6 linked regions of the Sus scrofa genome follow. The protein of the gene in region 3 purifies or fractionates together with the protein of the main gene of each other region. This does not show direct contact. Links are inferred from orthologs where the notes say so. Each region holds a gene or a part of one and is shown on either strand. Other genes may lie near its edges. The genes, in order: STRN4, STRIP2, SIKE1, PPP2CA, STRIP1 and STK24.

What was found.
Region 1: the proteins of SIKE1 (region 3) and STRN4 purify together in Homo sapiens (affinity purification with mass spectrometry; 3 studies listed by BioGRID and IntAct, with this or other methods). This does not show direct contact. The link is inferred for Sus scrofa from reciprocal best matches to the Homo sapiens genes SIKE1 and STRN4.
Region 2: the proteins of SIKE1 (region 3) and STRIP2 purify together in Homo sapiens (affinity purification with mass spectrometry; 3 studies listed by BioGRID and IntAct, with this or other methods). This does not show direct contact. The link is inferred for Sus scrofa from reciprocal best matches to the Homo sapiens genes SIKE1 and STRIP2.
Region 4: the proteins of SIKE1 (region 3) and PPP2CA purify together in Homo sapiens (affinity purification with mass spectrometry; 4 studies listed by BioGRID and IntAct, with this or other methods). This does not show direct contact. The link is inferred for Sus scrofa from reciprocal best matches to the Homo sapiens genes SIKE1 and PPP2CA.
Region 5: the proteins of SIKE1 (region 3) and STRIP1 purify together in Homo sapiens (affinity purification with mass spectrometry; 3 studies listed by BioGRID and IntAct, with this or other methods). This does not show direct contact. The link is inferred for Sus scrofa from reciprocal best matches to the Homo sapiens genes SIKE1 and STRIP1.
Region 6: the proteins of SIKE1 (region 3) and STK24 purify together in Homo sapiens (affinity purification with mass spectrometry; 4 studies listed by BioGRID and IntAct, with this or other methods). This does not show direct contact. The link is inferred for Sus scrofa from reciprocal best matches to the Homo sapiens genes SIKE1 and STK24.

What each region holds. Positions count from the first base shown.
Region 1 is NC_010448.4:52,607,057-52,611,849, forward strand, and holds part of STRN4 (striatin-4), read right to left. Parts: intron 3,363-4,793; coding exon 3,203-3,362; intron 2,681-3,202; coding exon 2,567-2,680; intron 2,236-2,566; coding exon 2,120-2,235; intron 463-2,119; coding exon 287-462; intron 179-286; coding exon 131-178; intron 1-130. UniProt on the Homo sapiens protein: Calmodulin-binding scaffolding protein which is the center of the striatin-interacting phosphatase and kinase (STRIPAK) complexes.
Region 2 is NC_010460.4:19,213,360-19,218,152, reverse strand, and holds part of STRIP2 (striatin-interacting protein 2), read left to right. Parts: intron 1-2,881; coding exon 2,882-2,986; intron 2,987-3,816; coding exon 3,817-4,021; intron 4,022-4,793. UniProt on the Homo sapiens protein: Plays a role in the regulation of cell morphology and cytoskeletal organization. Required in the control of cell shape. Calmodulin-binding scaffolding protein which is the center of the striatin-interacting phosphatase and kinase (STRIPAK) complexes.
Region 3 is NC_010446.5:105,777,528-105,783,057, reverse strand, and holds the start of SIKE1 (suppressor of IKBKE 1), read right to left. Parts: upstream 3,263-5,530; 5' UTR 3,171-3,262; coding exon 3,012-3,170; intron 2,779-3,011; coding exon 2,673-2,778; intron 1,555-2,672; coding exon 1,412-1,554; intron 1-1,411.
Region 4 is NC_010444.4:136,518,904-136,524,310, forward strand, and holds the start of PPP2CA (serine/threonine-protein phosphatase 2A catalytic subunit alpha isoform), read right to left. Parts: upstream 3,728-5,407; 5' UTR 3,550-3,727; coding exon 3,448-3,549; intron 1-3,447. UniProt on the Homo sapiens protein: Catalytic subunit of protein phosphatase 2A (PP2A), a serine/threonine phosphatase involved in the regulation of a wide variety of enzymes, signal transduction pathways, and cellular events.
Region 5 is NC_010446.5:110,077,659-110,083,163, forward strand, and holds the start of STRIP1 (striatin-interacting protein 1), read right to left. Parts: upstream 3,360-5,505; 5' UTR 3,124-3,359; coding exon 2,944-3,123; intron 210-2,943; coding exon 140-209; intron 1-139. UniProt on the Homo sapiens protein: Plays a role in the regulation of cell morphology and cytoskeletal organization. Required in the cortical actin filament dynamics and cell shape. Part of the striatin-interacting phosphatase and kinase (STRIPAK) complexes.
Region 6 is NC_010453.5:67,474,559-67,479,351, forward strand, and holds part of STK24 (serine/threonine-protein kinase 24), read right to left. Parts: intron 2,984-4,793; coding exon 2,875-2,983; intron 2,611-2,874; coding exon 2,453-2,610; intron 1-2,452. UniProt on the Homo sapiens protein: Serine/threonine-protein kinase that acts on both serine and threonine residues and promotes apoptosis in response to stress stimuli and caspase activation.

The sequences.
Region 1 (4,793 bases), on a different chromosome or scaffold from region 3:
CCTGTGCCCTGCCTTCCCCCAAGTCCTGAGTCTGTTTCCTCCTTCGAAGACTGTGCTGAGAAGCGGCTACGGAGGTGAAAGAGTCTGCAGAGCGCCAGAAGCCAGGCTGCCTTTGGGGGCCACTCCCTACCTGTGAGCCCGGAAGGCGTGGATAGGTTCCACGTCTAGCGCAGCATTCCTGTGGGGAGACGGAGGAGCCAGCTGTCACTGGGAGCCGCTCGTCACCCTGCTCCCTGCGCCCAGATGCCCCCGCCACACCCCTCCACGCCGGGGCTGCTGCTCTCACTTCTTGGCCGTGACCGCCTTCTGCAGGTTCCAGAGCTTGAGCGTGCCGTCCTCGGAGGCGGTAAGCAAAGCTGACTGGCTGTGGTGGAAAGCCAGGGAGCGGATGCCATCGTAGTGTGAACGGAGGGTGAATTTGGGGTTCCAGGTCTTCTTGAAGGCATCTTTGCTGTCAGACAGCTGGGGTGGGGGCAATGCCTCAGCATCTGCTCATCCAGCCCAGACACTGGGACCTCGAGAAGTCGTCCCTCCCCCTGCCAGCCCCATGTGGAGCACCCCACGGACTGGCCTCCAGCCGGGGACCCCTGCCCCTCCCTCCTGGCCCGCAGTGTCCCCTCGCTCACGCAGCAAGTTCCTGCACTGTGCAGGACTGGGCTAGCTCCTGGGGAGACAGAGGTGACTCTGATCCCTGGGGATCTCACGACTCATAGAGGGAGCCTGGCGGAGACAAGGAGAGGTCTCTGCAGGATTACAAATGCACCGAGAGGGGTCCCAGGCAGCCCCCTCCTCTCCTCTGCGGGGCTCCATGCGGCTTTCCCAAGGAAGTGACAAACAAGCAGGACTTCACCAGATAAGAGGGGGGAGGAGGACCGAAACTGCATGTGCAAAGTTCCCGAGGCAGAGGCAGCAGGAGCGGTCAGGAGATAGACAGGGCCGCCCTCCGCATCTCATCCTAAGCGGCGGGGCATGGTGGAAGGGATCAGAGAGGGAAATGGTACAGATTTCTCCAGCTGCCCTGCGGGGAGCTCAGCTGGGGAAGAGAGGGAGGCAGAAAGGTCCCGAGGGAAGTCTCCCCAGGAGATGTGAAGCAGGGACCAGACGCTGGGGAGTGAGACGGGGACAAGCACGCTCATGGGGAGAGACTGGGGAGCAGGCTCAGTGGGCCTCGGGGAGCAAGGCCCAGAGGCGTCCTGCGGGCCCTGGCGGATGGGGTCGCTCTCCAGGTGGGCGACCCGGGGAGGGCCACTCAGGAAATGAGCAGATTTTCAGGGGAGCCTCGGGGCCCTGCACCAAGACGGGGTACACGCCTGCTGAACCCCTTCATCTGCGCTCTTTCTCAAAGTCCTCACTTCTGCCACAGCTGTTGAGGGCTGGAGGGTCTAGCCCCTCGCGCAGGCTGCCCGGGGTAGGGCTGCAGCGCTCAGGCCTCACTTCCAACAGCCCCAGCAGCGCCCCAGCCTTGCTGGGATCACCGGGCAGGCAATCCCACTGCAGGTCCTGCCACGGGAGCGTGCTCACGCAGACCCACGTCAGAGACTCCTGGCCAGCCAGAGGCCTTGCACCGTCTCAGGCCCAGGACACCGGCCCTAAGGTCTCCTTTGCTTCCAGCCCATGGCCCCGAGGGCCTCACGCATCCCAGACTGGCCTGAGCTTTGGTTTTGTGGCCTGAGGTCACCTTCCCCTCCAAAGCCAGCTCAGTCCCACCTCCTGCACAGATGCTTTCACTTGCACTACTGCCCCCCGCAAGCCCCTTTCAACTCTGACACCGGATGTTGACTCAGCGCCCCCTTGGCTCCCGCCTCCTGCCCATGGCAGGTCCTGGACTTGCGGTGCATGGAAGCCGGGGTGGGAGGCAGCTTTGCTGAGAGGAGAAGCCTGGCAGCATGATTAAAGCACAGGCTCCAGAGCCACACCAGTGACCACGGTCAAGTCCCACCACCTGTCTGCACGGGCACCCCTCTGTGAAGACAGGATGAGCCGTCAAACGCTCTCACATCCTCCTCTGTCACGGGGGAGGGGCTGAGCGCAGGCGGACACCGTCGGAGCCCAGCAGGTCCCGCACCGCGCGGGACACCTGACCGGGGCCTGCGGGGGGTGGGGCACCCTGAGAACTTACATCGCAGCTGAGGTCGTTGTCGTTGGTGACGGTGAGATCTGCCAAGTCCCCCAGGCTCACCTCCCCGCCCCCGATAGTGTCCATGATGAAAACGTCTGAGGAGAAGCCAAAGGAACCTGGTAGGGGTGGGGCGGGGCGGGGCAGAGCGGGCAGGGAGAGCGAGAGAGAGCCAGAGAGAGGCAGAGCCATCAGGAGTGAGGAGGAGAGACAGGCAGAGGACCAGATCAAGAATCACAGCTGGAAAGAAAGAGACAGAGACAGACAGACAGGGCAGGACAGACAAAAAGAGAGGGAGACAGAGACAGACAGACGAACGTTTGGGACAGGGAGGCTGCAGACTAGAGGTCGGGCCTCGACCCTGAGGACACAGGAGCCCTGGGCTCAGCTCTGCAGCCTCCCTCTGCCATGGGCCCCTCAGGACTGGGCCGGGGTGGAGCAGCCTCTTACCTTCGTGTGGCCGGGGCTGGGGTGTGCCAGGCGGTGGGCCTGTCACTTTGGGGGGCAGCCCATCCACATCCCGAAGGTCGGCCAAAATTCCCTGGAGTTTGACCCGCCGACTTTCTGCAGGGATGAGGTGGGGCAGGAGTCACCGACCAGGTCAACGAGCCACGTGCAGGTGACTCTCTCCCCACTGCCGGAAGCCTCTCCTGCAACCAGGGGTGGCTAGGAAGCCCGGCACCCAGGGTGAGGGACAGACCGAGATGGGGCCCTCCATGGCCGCCCTTGCCGGGGCCTCAGTCCCCAGCCATCCTACGTGACCCCCGAGGGCCTCGTGGCTCCGAGTCACAGGACAGGAAGCAGCAGCAGCACTGCCCATCTGGCCCCCCCACTCTGGCTCTGCATCCTGTCCCTGAGGTCCACCAAGAACGGGCCGCCCGAGTGGAGGGCTAGAGGCCCTGCCTCAGGAAGAGGCCTGCCTGGTCCCCACGGGGATTTTCCAGGGAAGGGGCACAGGCCTCCCGCTCCCCTTGGCCTTCCTCTCAGGAAGCGTATCCGTCCGGTGGAGCCCTTGGGGCAGGAAGCAGCTGCCTGTGGCCATGTGCCCGCGGTGAAGGAAGGCCGGCCAGAAAAGTCTCAACTCACCCAGTTCATGGTGGGTGCCCTCTCCAGCGCACCGCCGAGGGTCTGGAGAGCCCTCCCCGTCCTCCCCGGAGCCCAGGAAATCAAATTCGTTGATGGCATCCTCTGAGTCATCCTCTTCGTCTTCATCCTCCATTTCAGGTACCAGGGCCTTGGACGGCAGCTGGGGCGTGAACACCAAGCAGAGGTCAGGGGCTCTTGCCTAGAGCCCAAGCCCCCAGGTTCTGGGAACAGAGAAGCAAGGGTTTCTGGCCTGGGCCGCCTGGCAGCGTCCAGCCCCAGCCCCGCACTCGGACGCCGAGCACCCCCTGCTGGGCACTTGACTAGCCTGCTCCTCACTGGCTGGGGTGGGGCGCCTTCTGCCTCTGCCCCCAGCTGTGACCCCCACACCCATAGGGCCGTCCTGCTGGCTTCTTCTTGGGCTGCTCGGGCTCCCGCTGCCCCCCACGCTCAGCACGGTACTTCCGAAATAACGTCAGCTAATACGACCACCTCTTTCAGGGGTGAGAGAGAATGTTTGTTTGTGTCTATGGGCCTAAGTGAGGGAAGGAGGTGCACACTCAAAGCCAGATTGGATTCACTGAACAGATCCACAGGTACGAGAGTACCAGGAAGGAGCCCCTTCCCCTCTGGGTCAGCCTCTACGCGTCACATCCGTGATTTCACAACCCCATGAATAGTTATCATTATTATAATTTCTTTCGTCTTTTTGAGGCCACACCCATGGCATATGGAGGTTCCCAGGCTAGGAGGAGAATCAGAGATACAGCTGCCGGCCTACACCACAGCCAGAGCAACACAGGATCCTTAATCTACCGAGTGAGGCCAGGGACTGAACCGGCATCCTCATGGGTACTAGTCAGATTTGTTACCCTGAGCCACATCGGGAACTCCCATTATGGTAATCACTGGTCCCATATTACAGATGAGGAAACGGAGGCTGAACAGAGTGCAGCCCTTGCCCCAGGTCGCAAGGTCCAAGCCATTTCTTTTAAGACGGCTCTTGGGTGTGTGATTACCTGAGGTTCTTCGCATCTTCCTTATAACTTTCTAAATGGGCTAAATTTTATACACATATATATATATATAAAACACGCAGGAGCTACTTTTAGAACTAGAGAAAACACCTTCGTTCCTCTTTTTTTTTTTGTCTTTTCAGGGCCGCACCCGTGCCATATGGACATTCCCAGGCTAGGGTCGAATCAGAGCTATAGCCGCCGGCCTACACCACAGCCACAGCAACTCGGGATCCGTGCCGCATCTGTGACCTACACCACAGCTCACGGCAACGCCAGATCCTTAACCCAATGAGCAAGGCCAGGGACCGAACCCGCAACCTCATGGTTTCTAGTCAGATTTGTTAACCACTGCGCCACGACGGGAACTCCTCGTTCCTCCATTCTGAGAACCAGAATGCTGGTGGGTTTGCCCGTTTCACACAGTCGGTCTTAACCAGGGGTAAGAGCTAAATCATCCTGTTTTCCTCACTTCACGAGCCTGGCCCCCCACCCAGACTTATGAATTTAGGAGCAGCACGGCTCCTGCGCTCCCCACACAGACACCTCGGGTACACGGCCTCGTGAAATGATGCTCT
Region 2 (4,793 bases), on a different chromosome or scaffold from region 3:
GACAATGCCAGATCCTTAACCTGATGTGCCACAAGGAAACCCCCCCCACTACTTAATTTCTTTTTAAAGATTGTTTTCTACTATTATTGGGCATTTATTTCAGTGTTCTTCGTATCCAAAATGAATATACTCGTACCTCATTTCTGATTATTTCCTTAAGATAAATTCCTTGAAGTGGAATTATTTGGCTAAGGTAATCTCGATTCATATTTTTTCAGTTTTCTGAATTTGAACTGAGTTCAACTTCATTTGGCACTCCAACTACACATATAATGGACATGAAATAAAGGCAGAGTTAATGGCATGTTAATTTCTAAAGTGTTCTCATTTTGTCAAAATATTTCTCTCTCCAGTAGGCCATCTTTACTCATGTGCTGAATAGTTTCCTCACCTACCTGACATAGGAAGTCTCACAATTTTCCAAAAGTCTATATTCCAAATTCAACCCACTAAAAAGACATTAAATTTAAATTCCAAACATAAGAGAAGGATGATGAGTATATGATTGTATGGAAGTTAGGTATGGCCTTTGGAAGGAGGTTGCTAAAGAGGCAGTGGGTGTGGCCTTAGCAAGTACTGTAGGAAGCTCAGCCTCCTCTGGGTGGTTGTTTAGAGCAGTGGTATGAGAAGTAGGATGTGCAACACGATGCTTTAGGGGTGGAATATATTAGATCTTCTATGTGTATTAATATCCTTTTTTCTATATTTCTGTGCACTTTATAATATACATCATGTTGCTACAACAATCCGTTTATAATTTATAAATAAACACACATTGTATTTAGGAGTCACTGAGTATCAGAGCTAGAAGTTTCTTAGTGTCTTGCCCAATCTCATCCTCTAGTGGTAAGGCAATAGATGGAGTGGTGAAGTGTTGTCCAAAGCATTGGGTCAGAATTTGCATGACCCAGCCATTTGCAAAGAAATGTTTGGAATATCCTCTTATATCTAGGCAAGTGAAATTATTAAGTTAGTTTTTAAAAGGCAGTTCATTATAAAATTTCTTAAATTTGGATTTGATTTATATCTAGAAAGACCTATAAAAATATGTTCATATCACTTAAATTTATATAACTGATCCTTTCATCTCTTATTAAATTTAATTTTTATAACTTCCTAAATCAGGTAATACAGATAATCCCAGAAGTTTTTTGGGTTTTTTTTTTTTGCCTTTTAGGGCTGCACCTGTGGCATATGGAAGTTCCCAGGCTAGGGGTGGAATTGGAACTGTAGCCACTGACCTACACCACAGCCACCTCGACGCCAGATCCAAGCAGTGTCTGCAACCTACACCACAGCTCATGGCAACTCTGGATCCTTAACCCACTGAGTGAGGCCAGAGATTGAACCCACAACCTCATGGATCCTAGTTGGGTTCGTTAACCCCTGAGCCACGATAGGAATTCCAATCCCAGAAGATTTTTGTTATTTATTTATTTATTTATTTATTTGCTCTTTTTGCCTCTTCTAGTGCCGCACCTGAGGCATATGGAGGTTTCCAGGCTGGGGTCCAATCGGAGCTGTAGCTGCTGGCCTACGCCAGAGCCAAGGCAACGCCAGATCCGAGCTGTTTATGTGACCTACACCACAGCTCATGGCAATGCTGGATCCTTAACCCACTGAGCAAGGCCAGGGATCGAACCTACAACCTCATGGTTCCTAGTTGGATTCGTGAACCGCTGAGTCATGACGGGAACTCTGATTTTTGTTATGTTTTGATTTTGCTTTTCTTTTTTTCTTTTTCTTTCTTTCTTTCTTTTTTTTTTTTTTTTTTTTTTTTTTGTTTAAGGCTGCACCTGCAGCATGTGGAAGTTCACAGGCTAGGGGTCAAACTGGAGCTGCAGCTGCCAGCCTATACCACAGGCAGAGCAACATGGGATCTGAACCGCATCTGCGACCTATACCACAGCTCACAGCAACGCCACATCCTTAACCCACTGAGCCAGGCCAGGGATGGAACCCGCATCTTCATGAATACTCGTCGGGTTTGTAACCCACTAAGTCACAACAGGAACTCCTGTTCATTCCATAATTGATGTGTGTTTGTCTTGGTTACTTCAAATTAACTTGGGAGAGGAGGGAGTAATCTTCCATTTACTAGATAGCAGCTCACTTCTGCACGTCTCCCACACCTTCATTCTCCATTCACATGGTAGACACGAGGAATTTTCAAGAAGTTAGTTTGACCACCATGTGCGCTCATTGATTTGTATAGCTTCTGACACCAGTGTATAGTTACAGTCCCCAAAACCCATAAAGACTCTTATTTTCGTTCCTGAAAGATGTTCCTATGAGCAGATACCTGTTTCTGATCTGACATCCATCTGTTATCACTGGTTGGGTGCTCACAAACTATCAAGAAACATTCAAGAGAACCACCTGGTTTGAATTAACCATGTGCCATTTTTCCTTCCATGCCAGAGAATTAAGCTAAATTGCTTAATGTGCAATTGCTTAAACTGCAACGTGGTTTGATAAAGGAGGGTGGAGACTGATTTTAAAAAAATAAACTGTAATGAATATCAGATCCATCCAATATAGTTTGAAATCTACCAGAATAACTCCTAGCAGTTACAGACATAAGCTTTCCTAAAGCAAAAAGCTATACAAGAAAGCTTGCTTAAATGAAGTTCCTGTGTTCATATATCATCTTTCTCTAGTACTTACTCTAGGTACAGAGTCTTCCAGAATTGGCAGCTGTGTGTTTTCAGATGAAGGATATTACATGCTTTGAAGCCTCGGTGTGTGAGAAACAGGATGGAAAGGAGGTAGCATTTCATATGGAAGGTCTCACCTAAACTGACCAACAGTGACCTCCAGATTTCTGTGGGAATGAAAGCCTTGTAGGTGTTGAGATAATGATGAACATGCCTTATTACAGGAAGCTGGAGACAACAACCAGTTCTGCTGGAGGAATCTCTTTTCCTGCATCAACCTTCTGAGGCTGCTCAATAAACTGACCAAATGGAAGCATTCCAGAACCATGGTGAGTGGAACTTCAGATCACGGTGTCCACCTGACTGAATTTTCTTTATCTTTAGTAAATATGGACTTCCTGCTTTGTCTATAGATAGACACTGAATGCTCTGTAAGATTTAGCACCTCCTAATTCTGGGCACTTATTCTACATGAGATAATTATTAAATGGTCCATTTCTTTTCAGGGAACTTAATATGATCTCTCCTTCAGAGCAGCTCTGGTGGGGAAGTTGGGATTATCTTTTAGATTATAGTACATATCCCAAATGATACAAGCCTAAGATTATTCATTACAGCATTATTTATAATCATGAAAGATTGGAAACAACCTAAATGTTCATTAATATGTGACCAACTGGTTAAATATGGTACATCCTTGTAATGGAATATTAATACAACCATTAAAAAGAATGAAGCAGTTCTATACTGCTATGGAATAGTTTTCAAGAAATATTGTTAAATAAAAATCAAGATACGGAACAATGTGGAAGGATATGTAGTTGCTATCATTTTTGTTAATAAAATAATATATGCGTACACAAAATTATCTCCAGAAGATACGTAGGAAACTGGTAACAATGGAAATGGGATGTGTGGCTGACTAACTTCTTCGGCACTTTGAATATTAGAAATTTTGAATTATGGAATATAAATAGAGTGGATCCTCTCTGTTCTTATGACCAAGCGTAAGTGGAGCTTGGACCACAGATTTCCCAAAACTTACCAGGGTAGTCTGAGGTTAACAAGGTTTGGCTTAATTTGTCTGTGAGGTGGAAATTCCAAGAAACTTTAGACACTTATCTATCTTTCTTCACTCCCACCCTCTTTAAATGGGCAGATGCTGGTAGTGTTTAAATCTGCTCCAATCTTAAAGCGGGCTCTCAAGGTCAAACAGGCCATGCTGCAACTTTATGTCCTGAAGCTGCTCAAAATACAGACCAAGTACCTGGGGCGCCAGTGGAGGAAAAGCAACATGAAAACCATGTCAGCCATTTACCAGAAAGTACGCCACCGCATGAATGATGACTGGGCTTATGGGAATGGTGAGTTTTCTCAGGGCTTTTGCCCAGGGTTTAAACAGAACTAAATAAACATTTGCTACTCTTTTGGTATGAATTGTTACATGTTTTAGATGAGAAAATATGTGATTATATTCAGGTACTGATAAAAAAAAAAACCTTAAAGCACTGCCCCAGATTCTAGCACTTACCTTGTCCTATGTATACTATGAAAATCCACTTTATGGAGTTCCTGCTGTGGCTCAGCCGGTTAAGACGACATAGCATCTGTGAGGATGTAGGTTCTATCCCTGGCCTTGCTCAGGGGGTTAGGATTCTGGCATGTCCACAAGCTGTAGCGTAGGTTGCAGATGCGTCTTGGTTCTGGTATTGCTGTGGCTGTGGTATAGACCACAGCTGCAACTCCAGTTTGACGCCTAGCCTGGGAACTTTCATATGCCACAGTTACAGCCTTAAAAAGAAAAAAATTCATTTTATAAAACAAGTAAATTGAGGGATAATTATCCTTTTCCAAAACATTCCTCTAAGTGACAGGTCTCTTCAAGAGATTTTTAAAACTAAAATAATCTTTTATTATTACAAAGCAATTAGAAAATACAAGTAAGCAAACATTTTAAAATACTATTACATTTATGCCATATTTGTACCACCTAAAGATTGCCACTAAAATCTTATATGTTCTTCCAGATCTTTTCTCTATGTATATGCATACGTTTTATTTAAATGAAAGCAAATTGTGTATGCTATTTTATTTTCTTCTCTTTTTAGTTAACATTATCTTCACCTTTCTACACTT
Region 3 (5,530 bases):
TTAGCAAGTTTTGTTTTGCTTTGTTTTTGGCTTTTTAGGCTTGCACCCACGGCATATGGAAATTCCCAGGCTAGGGGTCCAATCGGAGCTTCAGCTGCCAAGCTACACCAGAGCCACAGCAATGCCGAGTGAGGCCAAGGATCGAACCCACATCCTCATGAATCCTAGTTGAGTTTGTTAACCCCTAAGCCACAAAGGGAACTCCCAGCAAGTTTTTAATATAAACTAAATTCTGTCTCCTTCAAGGTTCAAGTTTTTGCTTCTGGATTACAGATTATTATTTTGTCCAGATGAAAGCCATTTGCATATTTAAAATACCTATTTTCAGAGTTCCCGTTGTGGCTCAGTGATTAACGAATCTGACTAGGAACCATGAGGATGAGGGTTCGATCCCTGGCCTTGCTCAGTGGGGTAAGGATTTGGCATTGCCCTGAGCTGTGGTGTAGGTCGCAGATGCAGCTTGGATCCCGTGTTGCTGTGGCTCTGGTGTAGGCTGGTGGCTACAGCTCCAATTCAACCCCTAGCCTGGGAACCTCCATATGCCACAGGAGCAGCTCTAAAAAAGGCAAAAAGACAAACAAACAAACAAAAAAACAACCCCCCCAAAACACCCATTTCCTCTGAGTTTTTTAACTAAAGTCAGTAAAATGTTTTCAGTGGAATCTAAGATGAAACTTATCTTCCAGAAATTCCACTGCAGCAAAGAGTGAGATATAGTAATACATACTATATCATGTATTAAATGATATAGTACATGTGAATATACAATGAGAACTGTGAAACACTCCACAAACTTATGAGCAAGTACTGTGTAAATCAACTATAACAGAAAAAATGAAAATGTTAAGAAAACAGAATAATTACTGGGTCTCCCAAATTAAATCATAAGTAACTAAAGTATAGATACTGATGTTGTATAGTTTACAGACTGCCTGCTATGTGCCAGGTACCATGTTAGAGATAATAGATGGAATTCAAGCTCCTTACAACCAAAGAGCTTAAAGTCTAGTGAAATATACAATAATAACCACTCAAGTATTTACTGAGCCCCTTCAACATTAACTGGCATTCTGTCTGGTAGAAGAACGAAGCATTCATTAACATCTTGAAACAAGATCTCAGTGAGGGAGGGAGGAACTTTGGAATTACTCAAATAAAAGGCCCTGAGCAGCTCTTTACCCACCTTTTTTTACTTTAAAAATTTTTTTTATTAAAGTACAGTTGATTAACAATGTTACCTTCCCCAGTCTTCTTATTCATATCTTTACAAAGATATACTAAAACCAACAGCAAATGTGATAAAACACAAAAGGAAAACAGCTTAGTTTTCTTCAAAAGTGAACACACAATCCAAAACAATTTCAAGATTTAAATGCAGTTCCCTTAAAATTTTTTCACAAAAGTTTCTTACTGCAGAGTGAGACTGGTGAGCTTTCAGGACTGGTTCAGCATCCACTGCTTTTTTAGCAACCATTAATTGTAACATCTGTTTCCGGTATTTGCTCATGATGAGTTCCAAAGCATCCTGGTGTTCCTCCAAGGAAACCCATAGCTCTATCAAAAAATAAAAAAACTTGGCAGTGATGTCTGAGAGATACCTCCTAAAGCCACACTCAAACAGTTGGAAGTTTATGGCATTCCATGGGATATTAGGAATCCAAAGTTGTAAATCAGTGTTGAAGTCCCCAAAACTTAACTATGTGAAAAATATCTGTCTAGGCAGAAGCAGCATCAACTGATAGAGTCATGGGATGTGGAATTGGAAGACATAAGTTTAAGTCCAGTTCTTTGAGTTATTAGCTTACTACTCTTAAAGCAAATCATTTAACCTCTATTTCTTATCTGCCTTGTAATAATAAATACCTGGCTTGTTTACTTCAAAATAAAGCTATGAGAATACAAGTGTATGGTATATGTAATTCCCTCTGAAAACTGATATACAAATAGCTATTCATACTACTACCATTAGCAATGTATTCATTAAGCCCAAGAATATACACCAGAGGATAAAACTTAGCTCTTCCGCCTTGCACAAGAACATAAAAAAACCCCTTTGATCTTAACTTTAATGTTTATTTCAATTATTTAAAAATTAAATTTTAAGCCCTTAAGGATATTAACGCCAGGAGTTCCTCTCCTGGCTGAGTGGTTAACAAATCCAACTAGGAACCATGAAGTTGCAGGTTCGATCCCTGGCCTTGCTCAGAGGGTTAAGGATCTGGTTGCCCTGAGCTGTGGTGTAGGTAGCAGACGTGGCTCAGATCTGGTATTGCTGTGGCTGTGATGTAGGCTGGCGGCTACAGCTCCAATTAGACCCCTAGCCTGGGAACCTCCATATGCCGTGGGTGCGGCCCTAGAAAAGACAAAAAGACACACACACAAAGCATATTAACTCCATCTGGGGACACCTAATAAGCCATGCAGTATTCAACTCTACTACACACCTTTCTGATGAGCTGCCTGTAAATAAAAAATCAGTTATATGACCTTGAAAAGGGAATGTAACACATTTTATTGCTACTGGGCCGGCACAGGACAACTTTCCCGTTAAAAGTACTGACTTGGACAATACAGCATGTGTATCTTTATGAATGGTTTGTCAGTTCTGCAAGAACTCTTTAAATATTACTGCATATGAGAAAATCATAACTACACAAAAAGGCCTGACTAACCTCTGTTTTCCTGCTGCAAGTCTCTAATCTGTGTATTCTCTTGGGAGAGCAGAATGTGAGGTTTGTATTTGGACATGTCCTTTATATCGGATGCATCCTCTTGATACTGGACAAACAGAGACATACTAATCGCGCCGTAAACAAGACAGCCGCAAATGCAACTGAAGACGCAGGAGGCAGTGTTCCAGGGTAACATTCTCATCCCCGACCCCGCAAAAAGGTTTCACCGCTGCCCTCGGGGACCAGGAATATATTCCAAGTCGCGTTCCCACTTTATCTCACCCTCCACCCCTAAAGTGCCCAGAACCCGAGGGCACGGACCCCTACCCTCTGCCTGACCTGGTCCGGAAGGGCTGTCCCCGCCTCCCGCATAGCGGCCACCCGCCGGTGCAGCGCCGCGGACTGGTCCACTAGCGACTCGGCCGCAGCATCGTGCTCCCGCAGCCTCTCCAGTAGCGTCTTAGCATCGGTCAGAATCTTCTCGATGGTGCAGCTCATAGCCTCCACAGGAACACAGCCCCAGCGCCGGTCAGCTGTAGGAACCTCTCAGATCCGTCCTGAGCCTGTCTCAGCGTTAGTGACGTCACTTCCGGGTACGTTTAAAGGCGCCTCGGTGATGGCCTATAGCGCTTGCGCAGTGGAGCCAGGTCAGCTGGTGACCCGCTTTAAGCCGCGGTTTCCCCGAAGCCTTTATATGTGCCCAGTGGCGGAGGCCTCCCCTTGCCTCGCCCTTGGCTTCCTGCAAGGCCTGATGGTCAAGTTGAGTTATGGCTGGGCTAGTCCAAGTTTCTCCTTTCCTTTGTGGTTTTGATTAATGTGTATTGTTATCGTCATTCTTTTAAAAATATTTTCTTTTTTTAAGCTGTGGTAAATTATGCATGAAATTTACCATCTTAACCATTTTTGAAGCATAGTTCAGTAGTATTAAGTGCATTCAAATTGTGCAGTTATCACCATCTATCTCCAGAACTCTTTTCATCTTGCAAAACTGGAACTCTGCAGTCAAATTTTTAACTTCCTATTCTGCCTTCCTCCTACCCCCTGGCAACTACTCTTCTATTTTCTGTCTATGGATTTGACTACTTTAGGTACCACTTATAAATGGAGTCATGTAAATCATAACTGTCATTTTCGTGACTGGTTTATTTCACTCAGCATAATGTCCTCAAGCTTCATGCATGTACAGCAGAATTTCCTTCCATTTAAGACTGAAAAATATTGGGAGTTCCTGTCGGGGCGCAGTGGTTAACGAATCCGATTAGGAACCATGAGGTTTCGGGTTTGATCCCTGGCCTTGCCTAGTGGGTTAAGGATCCGGTGTTCCTGTGAGCTGTGGTGTATGCCGCAGCCGTGGCTCAGATCCCGAGTTGCTGTGGCTCTGGCTAGGCCAGGGTCTCTCAGCCCTGATTAGACCCCTAGCCTGGGAACCTCCATATGCTGTGGGAGTGGCCCTAGAAAAGGCAAAAAGACAAAAAAAAAAAACAAAAAAAAAAGACAAAAATATTAACTGATATCTATATTTACATCTATATTTATGTACATATCATGTTTTGTTCATCCATTCACCCATTAATGGACCCTTGGGTTGTTTCCACCTTTTGGCTGTTGTGAATAATGCTGCTATGAACACATGTAATAAATACCCATTTGATTTTTTTATATGCAATGATTTTTATTTTTTTCATTATAGCTGGTTTACAGTGTTCTGTCAATTTTCTACTGTACAGCATGGTGACCCAGTTACACCTACACATATAGATTCTTTTTTCTCACATTATCATGCTCCATTGTAAGTGACTAGACATAGTTCCCAGTGCTACACGGCAGGATCTCACTGCTAATCCATTCCAAAGGCAATAGTCTGCATCTATTAACCCCAAGTTCCCAATCCATCCCAACTCCCTCCCCCTCCTCCTTGGCAACCACAAGTCTGTTCTCCAAATCCATGATTTTCTTTTCTGTGGAAAGGTTAGTTTGTGCCATATATTAGATTCCAGATATAAATGATATCATATGGTATTTGTCGTTCTCTTTCTGAGTTACTTCACTCAGTATGAGCCTCCCATTTGAGTCTTTCCTTTCAGTTCTTTTGAATGTATACCCAGAAGTGGAATTGCTGGGGGTATATGGTAGTTCTATTTAAAAATTTTTGAGGATTGACCATACTGTTTTTCATGGTGGCTGCACCATTTTACATTTTCACCAGCAGCGTGCTCCCTGTTCTTGTCATTGTTGTTGTTTTAATAGCCATCTTAATGTGTGTAAGAGGGAGTCATTATTTTCTGCTTATCTATTTTTTCAATTTTAATTCAGTTATTAATTGAAAACAAATTTAACTAGAATAGCATGACTTTTGTGCTGTTTGTTAATTGCTTTATTAGTTTACCTTGTCAAGTGTGTATGTCAAACTCTCTTCTCTTTTTAAAATTATTATTATCATTTTTTGGTTTTAGGGTCACACCTGCAGCATATGGAAGTTCCCAGGCTAAGGGTTGAATTGAAGCTGCAGCTGCCAGCTTACATCACAGCCACAGCAATGCTGGATCATATGCCACATCTGTGACCTACACAGGAGCTTGTGGTAATGCCAGATCCTTAACCCACTGAGCAAGGCCAGGGATCAAACTCTCATCCTCATGGATACTAGTCAGTTTCTTAATCAGCTGAGCCACAATGGAAACTCAATTCCTTGTTCCTTTTTTTTTTTTTTTTTGTCTTTTCTAGGGCCTCTCTCACAGCATATGGAGATTCCCAGACTAGAGGTTTAATCAGAGCTGTAGCCGCCAGCCTATACCACAGCCAACGCCAGAGCCATAGCAACACCAGATCAGAGATGCATCTTTGACCTACACCACAGC
Region 4 (5,407 bases), on a different chromosome or scaffold from region 3:
CTTTCTGAGCCTCGGGTTTCTAACTATAACCGAGGATCATTGCCTCATAAACCCGTTAAGAGACCAGTGTACATGAAAGAATGATGAAAACAACATTCCTCACCATGCTCCTCCCACAACTGCTTGTTCTGAATATTCAAATTAATCTTTATGGAAATAAGCCAAAAGGCCTTTTAAATTAAACATGCATACACACAAAAATATATTATCCACTTCATACAGGAATTTAACCTTGGCCAAGTATTTTGCAGGTCATCCAACTAGAAGGAAGAGGGCTGCTTTTTCCATACTCATGTAACAAATGTTAAAACTAAGTGAAGCCTTAATGATTGCATTTTATTTATAGCACCTGCACAGCAGTGGAAAACAGCATACCTACATAAGTAAAGAACTCCTCTGGAAAACAAAACAAAACAAAACACCTGGCTATCAAACAACATTCTCCACAAGTTTGGTAAGACCTGAAAACACAAGGCCAAAAATCATACCTAAATGAAACCACTGCTGATCCTAACAAAAGACTTGTAATACAGTTAATGTAAAAGCAAGTGGATACTACTTATTCTTCCAATCAGGAGATAGAAACATACCAGTCTAGATACACAGATGCACTAACCTCACTGACTACAGAACTGTGCCTACAGACAAAACTGCTTCACTCATCACAAATTTTTAAACAATCAACAAATTATGATCCCCAAAAATGACAAGGTATACTGCACACACAACAACCTTGGCTTTGATACAGACCTTAGTCACATCTTGTGGGGAAAAAACTTACATAGTTAATAACATAAAAACCCTATTCACCCTGGTCTATAAATATACTTTCTTATAATCAAAGAAATTATCAACTATTTCCAAATATCTACCTCCACCAAATATCTTTTCTTTAAAAAGAAAAATAATTACGCTAATTATTACACTAATGAAAAAAGGTTTTCCACTCAAGATTTTCAAAATATACAGGTTTTGCCAGTTGTGCTATTGGCCACACAAATATTAATAGTGAAAAGAGAACTTTTGTTTCACTAGAAAGACTTACTATACCTAAAAAACTGCCTTCAAGTTAATTTATTTTGGAAGGTTAATACAGTTCCCAAAGACGGAATACTTACAAATTAAAAACAGTATGAAGGCTATGTGACAACCTCCAAAAGGACCCATGTCTTGAAAATCTAGCATCAAAGATATATATATATATATATATATGCTCCAAGAATTAAAATCTTTATACAGTGGATGAGCAATGGGGATTTAAACATAAACTGATTAATCTCACTCCATCTTGATATTACAGAGACATAGCAAACAATATTTACCAAGGGGATCAAGCTTCAGTCCCCCCACCATAATTCCAATATCTTCTGCTGTCTCCAACACAGACCCTTTACTTCTGTGGTCTATCTACTACAGACTTCCAACCAGATTCAAGATCCTTAAAAATAAGCATGATTATTTTTCATTGCTTTTCACTCCTCTCATAAAAGTAAGCAATCTTGGATATCCAATAAGTGTTCAATATTTAAATACAGAGTACTATTTTAAAATGCAATTGTATAATCTCAAATGATTAGAAGGAACCCTGGAACATGTTTTAACTCTATAGACAAGAAAATGTGGACCAAGTGAAGTGATTGCCTCAAGGTCACAATTACTTGGTGGCAGAAAAAGGACCAGTGTCCAGGTCTAACTCACAGTCCAGTGGTCTTCCAACCACATCATTACTCTGTTGCAATGTTTGCTACACAAATAACTAGTCATCTAGCCAACTGCTGACTCAAAGTCTTTATATAGAGTTAAGTACTCAACTCTAAAAATCTTTAAAATCATCACTTACAGTATCCAAAAACTAAGACCTAACACTATACATTAAACAATTTTTAAAAGCCCACTTCCAAAACTTTAAACAAATGTCATTTTCATCTGATGTAAAAGAATTAAGGATCAAGAAGCAACAAAAGGCTCTACATTGCCAGTATTAAAATTCAGCTCCAAGAGATGATGTGCCACCTCATCAACTAGAAGTTTTGTTGAGGCTTGGGATAAACAAATCTGAATTAGACTTACTTAAATTGCAGTAATTCACAGAAGAGTTTCTGAAAAAGCCTGTTTTAGGAGCGTATATGTCAAATTTACGAATCTAATTTTCACATCAAACCACAAACGAGTCAGCGTAATTGCTTTCTAATAACTCTCTTCACTAATACAAAATGTTGATGATACTCCACCATTCTGTGGAACTAAAGATGCTGCAGAGTTATTTTTAAAAAGAGAAGTTGAAACATTCATGGTGGAGATCAGCATTTTCTCTACTTTAGAAAACTGAATTATAAGACTTAAACAGGCTACCTGTTTCCCCAACTCCTTGGGAAAAACAAATCAGAATTAGGTCATTTAAAATGGACTTCTAAAACAGACTACAACATTCCATTTTAAACGTTTGTGGGATTTAAACACTAAACACAATGACTGGAATACAGCAAAAGCTCGATCAACAGCTGTTAATATCATACTTACTACTTAAAGTCACAAATATACTAACAACTTTTCCAGCAGAGAGCAAGGATACAAAATCTGCTGGTCTTAACAGTTTATGCTGCTCATTTAAAAAACAAATGGCAAAATGCCAAGAACCTTAAGCTTAAAGAAGGGTTTCATACTATCCAATTTGAGTCAGCATATAAATCAGAGATTAAACTGACACTTGATTTCCAATCCCAAAGCTCCTATGTAGAATGACTCACCAAAATGTCTAATTCTTCCAACTATGAAAAATAAGTTATACTCCTCCCTATAACTACCACCATGACCTTCATTGAAACTTAGATTAAAAGCTCATTTAAAAATTCTCGAAAAAATGTACTAATAAGTCTCTGGAAAACACAGCTCGAGAGGTTTACCATAAACCACTCAAGACGATGCTAAATCTGCGTGACCTTTATTAGATAGGTCCCGGGATCCGGCCTACAAGCTTGCCTCTGGGGGACCCTCTGGACAGCTCTGGACCTAAGCATTCGGCCTGAGTACAAGTAAGAAACCTCCCACCAAACTCACAGAAGAGTCCCAGGCCCCATTCCCAGGCCGTAGAACCTAAGACCTCGTGCCCAGATATCAAAACCGTCCCTGACCCTTACTCGCAGGGTCTCCGCTCCCCCGCACCCTCCCCCAGCCACTTCGCTTCCAGCCAAGGCCGGGAAGCTCTGAAGCCCCGGAGTCGGGTGAACGGCGCCATTTTAGGCGGCGGTGGCAGCGACAACCAATCCCTGCGCGGGAGGCAGGGGGCGCCGGGTCGTCCGGGAGCCGCCGCCGGGCCGCGCCGGGGGCCGGTCTGGGAGGCTCGGGGGCCGGGGCCGCTGGCCTCCGCCATGTTGCACCCTCCCCGCGGCCGCTTCCTTCTCGGCGGGCTCGGCCCGCCCCGGCTCCCGAAGCCGGAGTGCAGCTCACCTTCTCGCAGAGGCTCTTGACCTGGGACTCGGACAGCTGCTTGCACTCATTCAGCTGCTCGATCCACTGGTCCAGCTCCTTAGTGAACACCTTCTCGTCCATGATGCCACCCGCCCGAACCGGCTGCCGCTCCGCGCTACTCCCGCGCCGCCGCCCGCACACGGGCCACACGCACACGCTGCCGTCGGCCCCCGGGGTACTTGTGTGGCTGCTGAAGGCTGCTCGGCAGTAGCGCTGCCCGGTTGACTCGCCCCTCGGTGTTCGGCTACCGGCCACTGACCTCCTCCGCTCGCTCTAGCCTTGGAGCTCGGCTCTGTAATGGCGGCCGCCGGCGTGGTGACGTCACGCCCGGCGTCAGGAGGTGGCGGGGTGAGGAGGGGTAGAAGCGCCGGGATACGAGCTGCGCAACTGCCGGGCCGGCTCTCATCTGCGGCCAGACCCGAGCGGGGGCGGGAACTAGGGGCCAGGGCGCAGGCGCGTAAAGTAGCCGGCTGGAAACAGGCACCTTCGCTTTTAGGGCGCGGTCCTGTAGAAGGGAGGGGCCGAGGGGGAAGGGAAGACCGAGTCCAAGCAGGGGCCTTGCTTATAGCTGGGAAGTGGGCTAATCTTAGAGCACTAAATCCTGCAGGGTGTAGTTGCGGACCAGGCGCAGGCGCAGCCGGGGTGCGAGGGTGGCTCCTTGTTGCCGGAGACTTTTTCCCTGAGGTGATACGCCTCGGCTCCTCACCTGGCGACTGCCAAAGCACGGAAACGAGAATTGGGCCCCGTGGCTCCTCCATTCTACAACAGCACTGGAATTGCTGCATCTTGGGAGCAGGAACAGGCGCCGAGTGGTAGCCAGGTTGGAGTAGCCACCCCTGCCTCCGGGTGCGGCCAGCACCTTGTAATTAGGTCAGTCGTAGGCGGAAGAGGGTGTACCTGCAGTACTGCGCAGTGCACCTGACTCCCCAACACACCTGTCCCCGGGCCTCGATGTCTCTTCTAGCGCCATGGCTGGGGCCTCCTAGCGCTCCTGGCTTCCACAGGCGCCGCTGCAGTCTTGCCATTGTGGCCTTCCCCCCTAGGTGGGCGCTTTCCTCCGACTCCGAGCCTCCAAGGGAAGAAGAAAACGCCCCCGACCCCACCCCCACCAACCGTCTGCCCACTCAGGCCTTCTTTCTAGAGGGAAGACCGCAAGGAGATGGACGCACCGGTCCTGATTGAGACCCGGTAGTGTTAGAAGCGGCTGTGATGTGCGCTTTAAAGAAAGCTCAGATACCCTAGGATCGGACCTCTGGCTATAAATCTCTTCGAGATTCGTGAAATGTATCCGCATTCCGTTGTCCTTGCATTCGCAGAAATATTTGGCTCCGTACACCGCCAGTTATGTTCAAGATTCATGCCCGAAGGACAGAAGGGTCATACAAACAGAGGTACCCTACCCTGACGGAGCTTGTGTACTTCCTGGGATGATCTGGGGATAGACAGGCAGAAGAGCCCTTCACAAAAGCAGGAAGATGAATGGCCAGTAACACAAGGGTAGTAAGCAGGGAAATGAAAACCACAGATTCCAGGTTTGACTCTCACCCATTTGGCAAAAACTGTCAACATCCAATGTTGGTGAGGATGTGGAGCAATGGGGTCTCTTATACACTGCTGTACTTTGGGACAACCACTTTGGAAAATCTGGCATTATCTAGTTAAGGTGTAGATGGGCACAACCCATGCCCAGCTCTTCTTCTCCTTGTTGTTTTCCCTAGAGAAAGTTTTGCACATGGACTTCAGGAGATAAGTATAAGGATGTTTCTAGCAGTGATGTTTGTTATACCAAAAATTGGAAACAAACCAGAAGTCCTTCAGCAACAGACTAAACAGTGATATATTTAACACATAGACATGTTGCTTGTGGTTTTTAGCCATGACAGTGTCCACAGAATCTCAGAGATGGAAGTTTTCCAAAGGACATTAAACCATGAAGTAC
Region 5 (5,505 bases), about 4.3 Mb from region 3:
ACATGCTCTAGGTATACACATCACTGCTAGGACCAAGTAGGGGGACAAAATGAACTCCAAAACGATACTCACTCTTAATTCTATTAAAGACTGACAAGGCAAGAAAGCACCCCTAATAATAAGAAGGCCTGTGCTTTACCTGAGAGCTCTGCAGCCCACTTGTCTGTGTCAGCATACTCAAACTCGAGGTCTGGAGACTCGGAATAGCCCTGGTGAGGAAAGGCGAGTCATGCAAAAGATCACCGTGAGTGTTTTCCAAAGGAATGAACACATATGCTTCCAGAGACCCTGCTGTGTTACAGGATGTCACTACCTTCACTTTGCTGATGCCTTATCACAATATTTTGTCCCCTGGGCTAGCTCAGGTCTCCCTCTCAGAACAACCTGTACTACTTCACAGCATTTATCCTAACTCATAATTATAAATGCACATGTGTATTCGTTTAGTGTCTGCTTCTCCATGAGACTGCAGATTCCTTAAGAGCAAGAACTTTGTCCATTTTGCTCACCAATGAGTCCACAATGCCCAGCATCCTACTGGGCATGAACAACGGACTGAATGAATAGTTCACACCCAAATAACTACTTGTTGGAGGAATGAACACTAAAGCTTCCGTGTAATCTGTGCGGTGAAATGACCATCCCACATGGTGCTCAGATTTTGGAAGCGTCATTCCTTCTAGCTAGTGACCTATCCATAGCTCAGGACTATATGAGTATACACACCCTCAGCCCTCCTGCCCTTCTCTCAAATTTCAGTGAGAACTGACGGAGAAGACAGCAGCTGAACAGAAATGGCTCCTTCCTCCCACACGCGGGAGAGGAGGTGACAAAGAGAATCTTTTTACTGCTGGGGATAGGTCACTAGCTGACAACACACCATCTTGGAAGCCATGTTCCGGGAAAAGAGAAGAGATGAAGAAAAAGGCAGTCCTCAGGCTTGATTACAATTGACCTGGGAAGATAAAGACCACTCGAAAATGATGTAAAACACCCACAAACACTGACTAACACGAAGAACTCCTTATTGGGGCCAAAGAGTGCATGTTCTTTCATAAGTTACTGAGCTTCAGTTTCTTCATTTATGGAATGAGGATGACAAAAAAATCTATCATGAAGGTTTTTTTAAGGACTAATCAAAATTGTGTAGCACACAGTGGGCTCCCATCAAATGCCTCCCCCCGGGTCCTGCAGGCACCCCTCAGGTTCCCAGCCTACTGATTTCAGCTAAGACACAACAAAGAGTGGCATTAATATCTGTAAGAAACAGATTTAGACAGGTCCCTCAGCTTAAATGTGTTCACTAACCTTGTATGTGTTGAGTCTACATGGAAATTAAAGGTTAGAAAGAAAAATTCGAATCCATCAAAGTGCATTTAATGGCCACTTAGGAAATTTTTTAACTATTTAAAAACTAGGGGGAGTGCTTGTTGTGGCTTGGTGGGTTAAGAACTCATAGTATTCATGAGGATGCAGGTTCGATCTCGATCCCCGGCCTCACTCACTGGGCTAAGGATGGGGCGTTGCTGCAACCTGTGGCATAGGTCGCAGATCTGGCTCAGATCCTGCATTGCTGTGGCTGTGATGGAGGCATGCATCTGCAGCTCGGATTCAACCCCTGGCCTGGGAACTTCCATAGGCCACAGGTGTGGCTATAAAAAGGAAAAAACAAAAACAAACCCCACACTAGAACTCCTCTTCTGATGAAGGTGGATTATTCATTACCACTTTCAAAATCCTCCATCCTTGAAAAATTATTAGGAAGTCCCCACTGACGTCCAATCAGCCCACCATGCCAGGGCTACTAAAAGGTCAGTTTCATTGCCTTTTCAAATAACTCACCTCAAGCTCAAAGTGTATCTGACTGGAACTTGCCAAATTTTGATGTTTTACCAGAAGATTGCTCATGCAACAACACCCAAGAGCTTGAGAGGAACTGATTTCACAGGCCCAAAGACGGCATCAGCACTCTGCAATGAACTGGTACCTTATGCCTGGACAATGCAGAATTCCCTCTCATTAATAATAATAATAAGCACCTGACTGCTAATCAGCCTCGGAGTCGTCTCAGGTGAAGGAGCCCTCACAGTAAGGGCGCTGGCAATGTGCTGATTAAGAAGCCTGAAACGCTGCGACGTGTGTGTCTTCATTCATGAATTCTGCGATGGGAGGCAATGGGAGTGTAATTCTTTAATGCGGGGTGAGCTCCAAACTACGGTGTCTCCGAAAGGGGGGGAACAACCCACTAGCAAGAACGGAGGGAAAGCGGCTTCCTAACGCGTGTTTAGATAAACATATTTTTCATCTTTAATAGGTCAGCATCGGGCGCACTGGGCACACCAACCACCAGGCATTGTCAAACCATGGCCCGAACCTGCAGTGGCTAAGGTCAGAGTGGACAGGACTGTTTCTCCCTCCTTCTCTCCCCACCTCGGCGCACAGTACATCGGTGCTAATTAGCTCAGTCCGTCTTCGAGGTGCCTTCCAAACCCTCGCCAGTCTCTTCCCTGCCCACACACACCCTTCGCCGCCTTGCGCTGCGGAACCCGCGGGACCAGAAGCCAGAGACGATTAGGGGGTTGGGGGTGTAGCCGCGCTGCCCTCTGGAGCGCACGCAGACCACTGACTCTTCACCCTTGAACTGGGGGCAGGGGATGGAATCCCCAGAGGCCTCGCCCACAGCCCCGGCCGCAGAGGAGCCTAAGAGCGGACATAGGCTCCAGAAGGGTTCTACCTGGCGGCGGAACTCGGGGAGGGGGACCCCGGTTTCAAGTCTCCCGCCCCGGGGATGCCAGCTTTGCGTCCTGCTCCTTTCGCTGTTAAACAAGCAAACAAACAAACAAAACCTCCTCTGCCGAACCCGGCCCAGCTTGAACCCGAGAGCGACCCCGGCCCCAGAGCCTCCGCCCGCCTGGTTCGAACCTCGCCCCCCGAAGCTCCTACCTCCGAGTCTTTGCGCTGGTTGCGGTTGAACTCTCGGGCTTTGCCCCCGGGCAGGAGGCCCCCGCCGGCCCGCGGTGCCCCAGGCGGAGGCTGCGCGACTGCGGGCGGCGGAGGTGGAGGCGGCTGGGGCTGCTTGTTGTTCATGATTAGAGGACCGGGACCGCCGAGTGCCGGCTCCATCTTGGCTGCTCCACACCCCCGGCTCGGCTCAGTTCAACGACAGTTGCTGCGATGAAACTCTCGCGTGATTTCCTCCCGGAACGCTCCCTGATCGCCATATTAAGTGTGGCGGCAAGTGCCGGAAGCCATCTTGGCTGCCCAACAGTTCGCGATATTTCTTCTATTTGCCTTCCTATCCTCCTCTGCCCCTTTGGTTTTTACTCTGTGTGGGTCCCAGTTTAGAGGTCTTTTTATCTGCGTAGCCCATAAACCCCTTAAGTCAGTTTAGGCCTGCCCAACTCCTGCCTTCACCATCTCTTTGCGCTTGTCACTGTTACAGCCCTGTTCAAAGCTTTGGAGATATGAACAAAATGGACACAATTCCAGTCTTCATGGCGTTTCCATGGGGGGAGAGGTGCGAAAAAAATGAATAAATCAATAAAACAATTACAGTTATGGCATTCATTAATCACTTATTCATTAGACATTTAATGGATATCTGGTATGCTCCAAGCATGTGATAGAATGAGGAACGAAATCAAATGCCTGCACTAACGGTACATAACACAGTGTCTAGTGGGAGAGACGATGTGCACACAAACAAACAGATTAGACAAGTAAGCTCTGAGAAGAAACAAAAAGAAGTGTAAGGGGGAGTTCCCTGGTGGCCTAGCAGTTAAGGACTTGGCTTTGTCACTGCTGTGGCTCCCGTTCGATTTTCTCTGGCCTAGGAAATTCCGCATGCCGGTAGCTGTGGCCTACATAAACAAACAAATAAATAAAATTTTTAATTAAGGGGAAAAAAGAAGTACAAAGGATTCAAAGGTGGTAGTAATAGGGGCGGGGAAGTGTGGCAGGGCTATAATAGGTAGGCTGCTTAAGAAAGGCAGGCCTGAGGGTGAGATTTTGTTTTCGTTTTTTTTGTCTTTTTGCCATTTCTAGGGCCGCTTCCCGTGGCACCTGGAGGTTCCCAGGAGTCTAGGGGTCGAATCGGAGCTGTAGCCACCGGCCTACACCAGAGCCACAACAACGCGGGATCCGAGCCGCGTCTGCAACGCACACCACAGCTCAGGCAACGCTGGATTGTTAACCCACTGAGCAAGGGCAGGGATCGAACCTGCAACCTCATGGTTCTTAGTCGGATTCATTAACCACTGCGCCACGACGGGAACTTCAAGGGTGAGATTTTGAATGAGTTCTGAAACAAGTGAGGGAGAGCCACCCAGATCCACGGAAGAAACACAGGCAGAGGGACCAGCTAACTGCAGAGGCTCTAAAGTGGTGTGGTACAAAATGAGAGAAACAGGGGAAGAATAGTAGGAGATGAGGGCTGGGTAAATGCAAGGGCCAGAGAATTAGAGGGCCTTGAAAAGCACTGACAGGACTTTGGATTTTATCCTACGGGAAATGGAAAACCATCAAAAAGTGTTTACCAGGCAGGTGTCATGGTCTGATGTTGAAAAGACCAGTCTGGCCGCTTTTGGAGAGGGATTGAGAAATTGCAAGAGTAGGTGAGGACACACAGGTTAGGAGACTATATAAATGGAAATGATGATGGCTTATATCAGGATGGAGCAGTGGTTTGACATGGTATTTCTATACTGTGTAGGTAAACTCAACAGGATTTGCTGAAAGGCTGGACTACTATCAGCCAGATAGAGAGGAATGATGGATGAGTCCTAGATTTCTGGCTTGACCAACTGGGTAGATGCTTATATAGCTTATTTAAAAAAAAAAAAAAGGCTTAGTATTACTTATTAAAATAGAGAGGCTGGGAGAAAGGAAAGCAGGTTTAGGGAGAAGATCAAGATGTCTGTTTTGGACATGTCATATATGAGACCCATTTGACATCTTAGAGGTGATATGTAAGGATCACCTGTTGCTATGTTGTGAGATCCTTAAAGGCATTTTATTCATCTTTGTCTCTCCCCAACTACATCTTGGCTGCTCCACACTCCCAGCTCAACTCAGTAAATCACTGGGATTCAACTCTTTCAGGATTTCTGGAGTTCCCGTTATGGCTCAGTGGTTAATGAATCCAACTAGGAACCATGAGGTTGGGGGTTTGATCCTTGGCCTTGCCTAGTGGGTCAAGGATCCAGTGTTGCCGTGAGCTGTGGTGTAGGTCACAGATGCAGCTTGGATCCCGCGTTGCTGTGGTGTAGGCTGGCGGCTACAGCTCTGATTCGACCTCTAGCCTGGGAACCTCCATATGCCATGAGTGCCGCCATAAAAAGACAAAAAAAAAAAAAAAAAAAATCTGCCAAGAATCCACCTAGTAGGTGCTTTAAAAGTCTTATTACAAAATAAAGAATAAATCCGAATCTGCTGTGTTGCTACTTCCTCCTATCTTCCAGTACTTTGCCTCTGTTTCTTAAATCCAGTGATTTACTTTATAAGTTA
Region 6 (4,793 bases), on a different chromosome or scaffold from region 3:
CTTAAAGATAATAAGGATGATGAAGGTGCCCAAGGCAGGTGGCCAGCACGACTTAGAGACACTGTGTCAGATCAGGAACAGAGACGGCCCTGTACATGCAAACACGCTCAGAACCAAGCAGCCTGGACAGTTGACAAGGGGCCCACGGTTCCAGAGGCGACTGTGTCACAGGGTCCAGCTGATCACCGAGACCAAGGCCTACATCCCCTTAGTTCAGGGAGAGGAACACACCAGCCTCGGCCCAGCCCACCTTCCTGGAGCTGCAACTGAGCGGAGCACGCGGCCTCCCCAGGGGCCCAGGGCTCAAGCTCTTGACCTGTAACACACAGACCGGGGGGAACCGTCCGGAAAGAACACGGGGGACAGGAGAGAAGCTGAGCAGGTGTGTGAGTCAGGAGACGGGCAGCGCCCACCCTCCACCAGCCAGTGCGCACGACGAGAGCTGCTAGGCTGGGGGCACGGCAGCCCTCAGGCCCGGCCGCTGACGAACCTCCCGACTCAGCCTTCTCCATGCTTCCCACACCTCCTGTGTCCACAAACCTGGGAAGCAAATTTCGCAGTTTCCCAGGTGAGCTCCGGCTAAGAGCTGCTGTGTCTGACCCAAGCCAGTGAATCACTAGCTTTTGCCGTGAGCCAGAGTTCAAGGTAATGGACTTGAGGGTGAACAAGCAACATGATGCGTTTCCTCAAGCTGCCCACCCGAGCTGCACCCTGCCCCGTTTGAGACGCGTCTTGCCATCGACCTAAAAGGAAGGCCGCACCGTTACCCGCCACACGGGAGCGCTGTGGTCCGGACCACAGCGGGGGAAGGTGCAGAGGAGGCACCGTTACCCGCCACACGGGAGCGCATGTGGTCCTGACCACAGCTGGGGAAGGTGCAGAGGAGGCTCTGCTGCTCAGAGGCCGCCTTGGGCGGACACCCGGAGAGGCCCCAGCGGGGCTGGGGAGGCCTCGGGGACCGTTCCTGAGCAAGGGATGAGTGTCGCTGAAAACCCAGCATCTGAGTGCTGCGCTGCAGCGGCGGTGGCGGATCAGCTAAGTGACCAGAATGGAGGAGCGGCCTCAGTGCGGCTGCCATCAGATGAGGGACGACTCCTGGGGTCCCGTCACAGCCCAGCCAAAATCCAGATGCCGGAACTCAGACACATGGGCCTCAGCTTAAAACAGAGTGGACCAAACACATGAGCCCCTGTCACACCCTAAAATGACACAACCCCAGGGAAGGAGGGGCCCGTGGCTGCCACAATTGGAAGTAGCTACGGGGAGAGCCACCCCACGGGGCAAGGCAGGCCCAGGCCAGACACGCTGCTGTCCCCACACCTCAACATGAGGGGGCCAGGCCACCAGCGCCATCAGCTCACACGCCGACCTCGGGTGCCCAGGAAAACCTACCTGTGCTCCGCATGCTACATTTAACAAGGTGGGAACCTGCCAGGTAAGGAGATTTCCTCTTCGAGAGCAGAAATGATGCTCGGCTGTCAGCACACCGAGTCAGAGGTTTGCTTACAAGCCCTGGTTTGGAGAAGCCTGTTCTCTGGGGCCGTGGGGATCCTCCCGCCGTCCCGCGCCGAGAGCGGCCTGCGGGAGGCGGGTTCGCGGGCTTTTCAAGTTTATACCAAAAAGCTTAAGAACGCTGACAGGCAACGGAGGCAAGAACACAGGAGAAATGGGAGCGTACAACACGACAGGAGGAAGAGGCTGGGAAAAGAATCACGATTTGGCCTCAAGTCGGCACAGAGCCTCTGAGAATGACGATCCCAACTGGGCGCTACACTGGCCGACAGGAAGGGTCTGCCTGGTGTTCTGTGGACGCCGCCTCTCCCGAGGGACCCTGCCTGTGCCTGGCCAGGGTCCTGCTGAGGCCCTCTGCCCCATCCCCTCCTCCTGGCCTCCCCGCGCCCCCACATGCCTCTGCTGGACACCCCCACCGGCCGGGCCACCCCGTCCCCCGGCCTCCACCCGCTGCTCCTCCGTGTCCCTCCTTCAGACACTGGAACGGGGGGCTGGTTGCATAAAGGGGTGCCGGAGACGGCAGCAGACAGAAGAACCCTGTTTCTAACCGTAGCCCACGAACTGCCCTCGTGACCTACGACAAGGCCCTGGCTTCCCCCACCAGGACAAGCCCTGAAGTTCAAGTCCAGAGGACCACTCCCAGACCCAGCCAGCTGAGGCTCCTGACCGCACATTTCTTCTTCTTTTTTTTAACAGCCACACACACACCCGTGGCCCATGGGAGTTCCCGGGTTAGGGGTCGAATCAGAGCTGCAACTGCCGGCCTGTGCCACAGCCATAGCAACACGGGATCCGAGCCGCATCTGCGATCTACACCACAGCTTGCAGCAATGCCGGATGCTTAACCCACCGAGTTGAGGCCAGGAAGCAAACCTGCATTCTTACAGACACTATGTCAGGTTCTTAACCCACTGAGCCACAAGGGAACTCTCGTCCTCACCTTTGAGTCGTAGGCTGACTGCTTGATGACTTCGGGCGCCATCCAGAAAGGGGTGCCCACGAAGGTGTTTCTCTTTATCTGGGTGTCGGTCAGCTGGCCTGCCACGCCAAAGTCGGCCAGCTTCACCTCCCCGTGTTCAGACAGCAGGACATTGGCAGCTGCAAAAATAAAGCCAAAGACGCCCCCTGACATCATGTGCCGGAAGTTCCATCTCCAGCACGGGGGGAGCGTGTGCACAGCGACACCACTGCTGGACAAGAACTGCTTTCAGTTAGACCCCCGCGGGGCGCCCCCTCCCCTCGCAATCGCAGACCGCCCTCAGGACGACAACCCTTGAGAGAGCAGCGCAGGTAAGACGACCATTCCCACCCACCTTCGCCTTCGGCATTTCAAAGGGACACAAACAAGCTGTGTTCTTTTACCTTTAATGTCTCTGTGGATTTTCTTCTCTGAATGCAAATAATCAAGTCCTTTCAGTATTTCTCTTAATATGGTAGCAATCTGAGTTTCATCTAAAGGGCCAGGTTCTAACTGACAAGAAAAAAAAGGATTCAGGTTACTTAAATGATTAGAAGAAAAGTCTGAGAGAATAGAACAAAGTCAATGTTAAATGGACAACAATAATCAAAATCTGAAAGCTCTTGCACTCCAAAACATTTTGCCCAAACAATTAAAATCTATTTAAAAGACCCTAAAAAAAATCCCCAGAGAACCAGAGAAAATGACTTTGATGAAAGAAGCAAAGCCGACTGAGCGTCCAAGCCGGGCTGGTGAGACAGGCCGTGGTCAGCCCGATGTGTCTGTGAGCAGAGCTGGGGCGGGGTGGGGGGGGGGGCCGCTAGCCCGGAGAGCAGAAGCAGGGCCCCTTGCAGCATCTGCTGGGGAGGGCACAGGGCAGCCGGGCTCCGCCCTAGCGTGGTAACTAACGGGTGGTTAAATGGAGAAAGTCCAAGAGCTGTTTTCTGAGGCTACCCGGCACCAGAAATTTTTAAATCTGAATTTTCTTTCTTTTTTTTTTGGTGCTTTTTAAGGCTGCACCCACAGCATATGGAGGTTCCCAGGCTAGGGGTCTAATCAGAGCTATTGCCACCAGCCTACGCCAGAGCCACAGCAACTTGGGATCCAAGCCAGGTCTGCGACCTAACACCACAGCTCACGGCAATGCCGGATCCCTTAACCCACTGAGCAAGGCCAGGGATCGAACCCACAACGTCATGGTTCCTAGTTGGATTCCTTTTGGGTGATGGAAAGTTCTAGACCTAGATGGGAGCGATGAATGCACACCGTGAATACACTAAAGGTCATGCAGGGTAAGTTTTGTGTGTATTTTACCACAGTTTCTTAAAATGAGAATTTCATGGGTTTTTTTGTTTGTTTGTTTTGTTTTGTTTTTTTTTTGAAAGTGCCCCGAATGGTCCAGGGAAGAGTTTCGATTCAGGAGGAAGAGCTTCTGAGACGCGTTAGCTTCTGGCTCTCTCATCCTAGAACACAGGTGTTAGTTTTCGAGAACCAGATTTTTTTTTTAATATACTGATTTTTTTTTTTCCATTATAGTTGGTTTGCAGTGTTTTGTCAATTTCCTACTGTACAGCAAGGTGACCCAGTTACACATACATGTACACATTCTATTTTCTCCCATTCTCATGCTCCATCATAAGTGACCAGACATAGTTCCCAGTGGTACACGGCTGGAGCTCATTGCTAATCCATTCCAAAGGCAGAAGTCTGCATCTGTTAACCCCAAGCACCCCAACCATCCCACTCCCCGCCCTCCCCCTCAGCAACCACAAGTCTATACTCCAAGTCCATGATTTTCTTTTCTGTGGAAAGGTTCATTTGTGCTGTATATTAGATTCCAGATATAAGTGATACAATGTGGTATTTGTCTTTCTCTGACTTACTTCACTCAGGATGAGAGTCTCTAGTTCCATCCATGTTGCTGCAAATGCCATTATGTTGTTCTTTTTATGGCTGAGTAGTATTCCATTGTGTATATATATATATACACCACATCTTCCTAATCTAGTCATCTGTGGATGGACATTTGGGTTGTTTCCATGTCTTGGCTATTGTGAATAGAGCTGCAGTGAACATGAGGGTGCAGGTGTCTTTTTCAAAGAAAGTTTCGTCCGGATATATGCCCAAGAGTGGGATTGCTGGGTCATGTGGTAGTTCTATGTATAGATTTCTAAGGCACCTCCATACTGTTCACCATAGTGGTTGTACCAGCTTACATTCCCACAGACAGTGGAGGAGGGTTCCCTTTTCTCCACAGCCCCTCCAGCACTTGTTCTTTGTGGATTTATTAATGATGGCCATTCTGACTGGTGTGAGGTGGTAT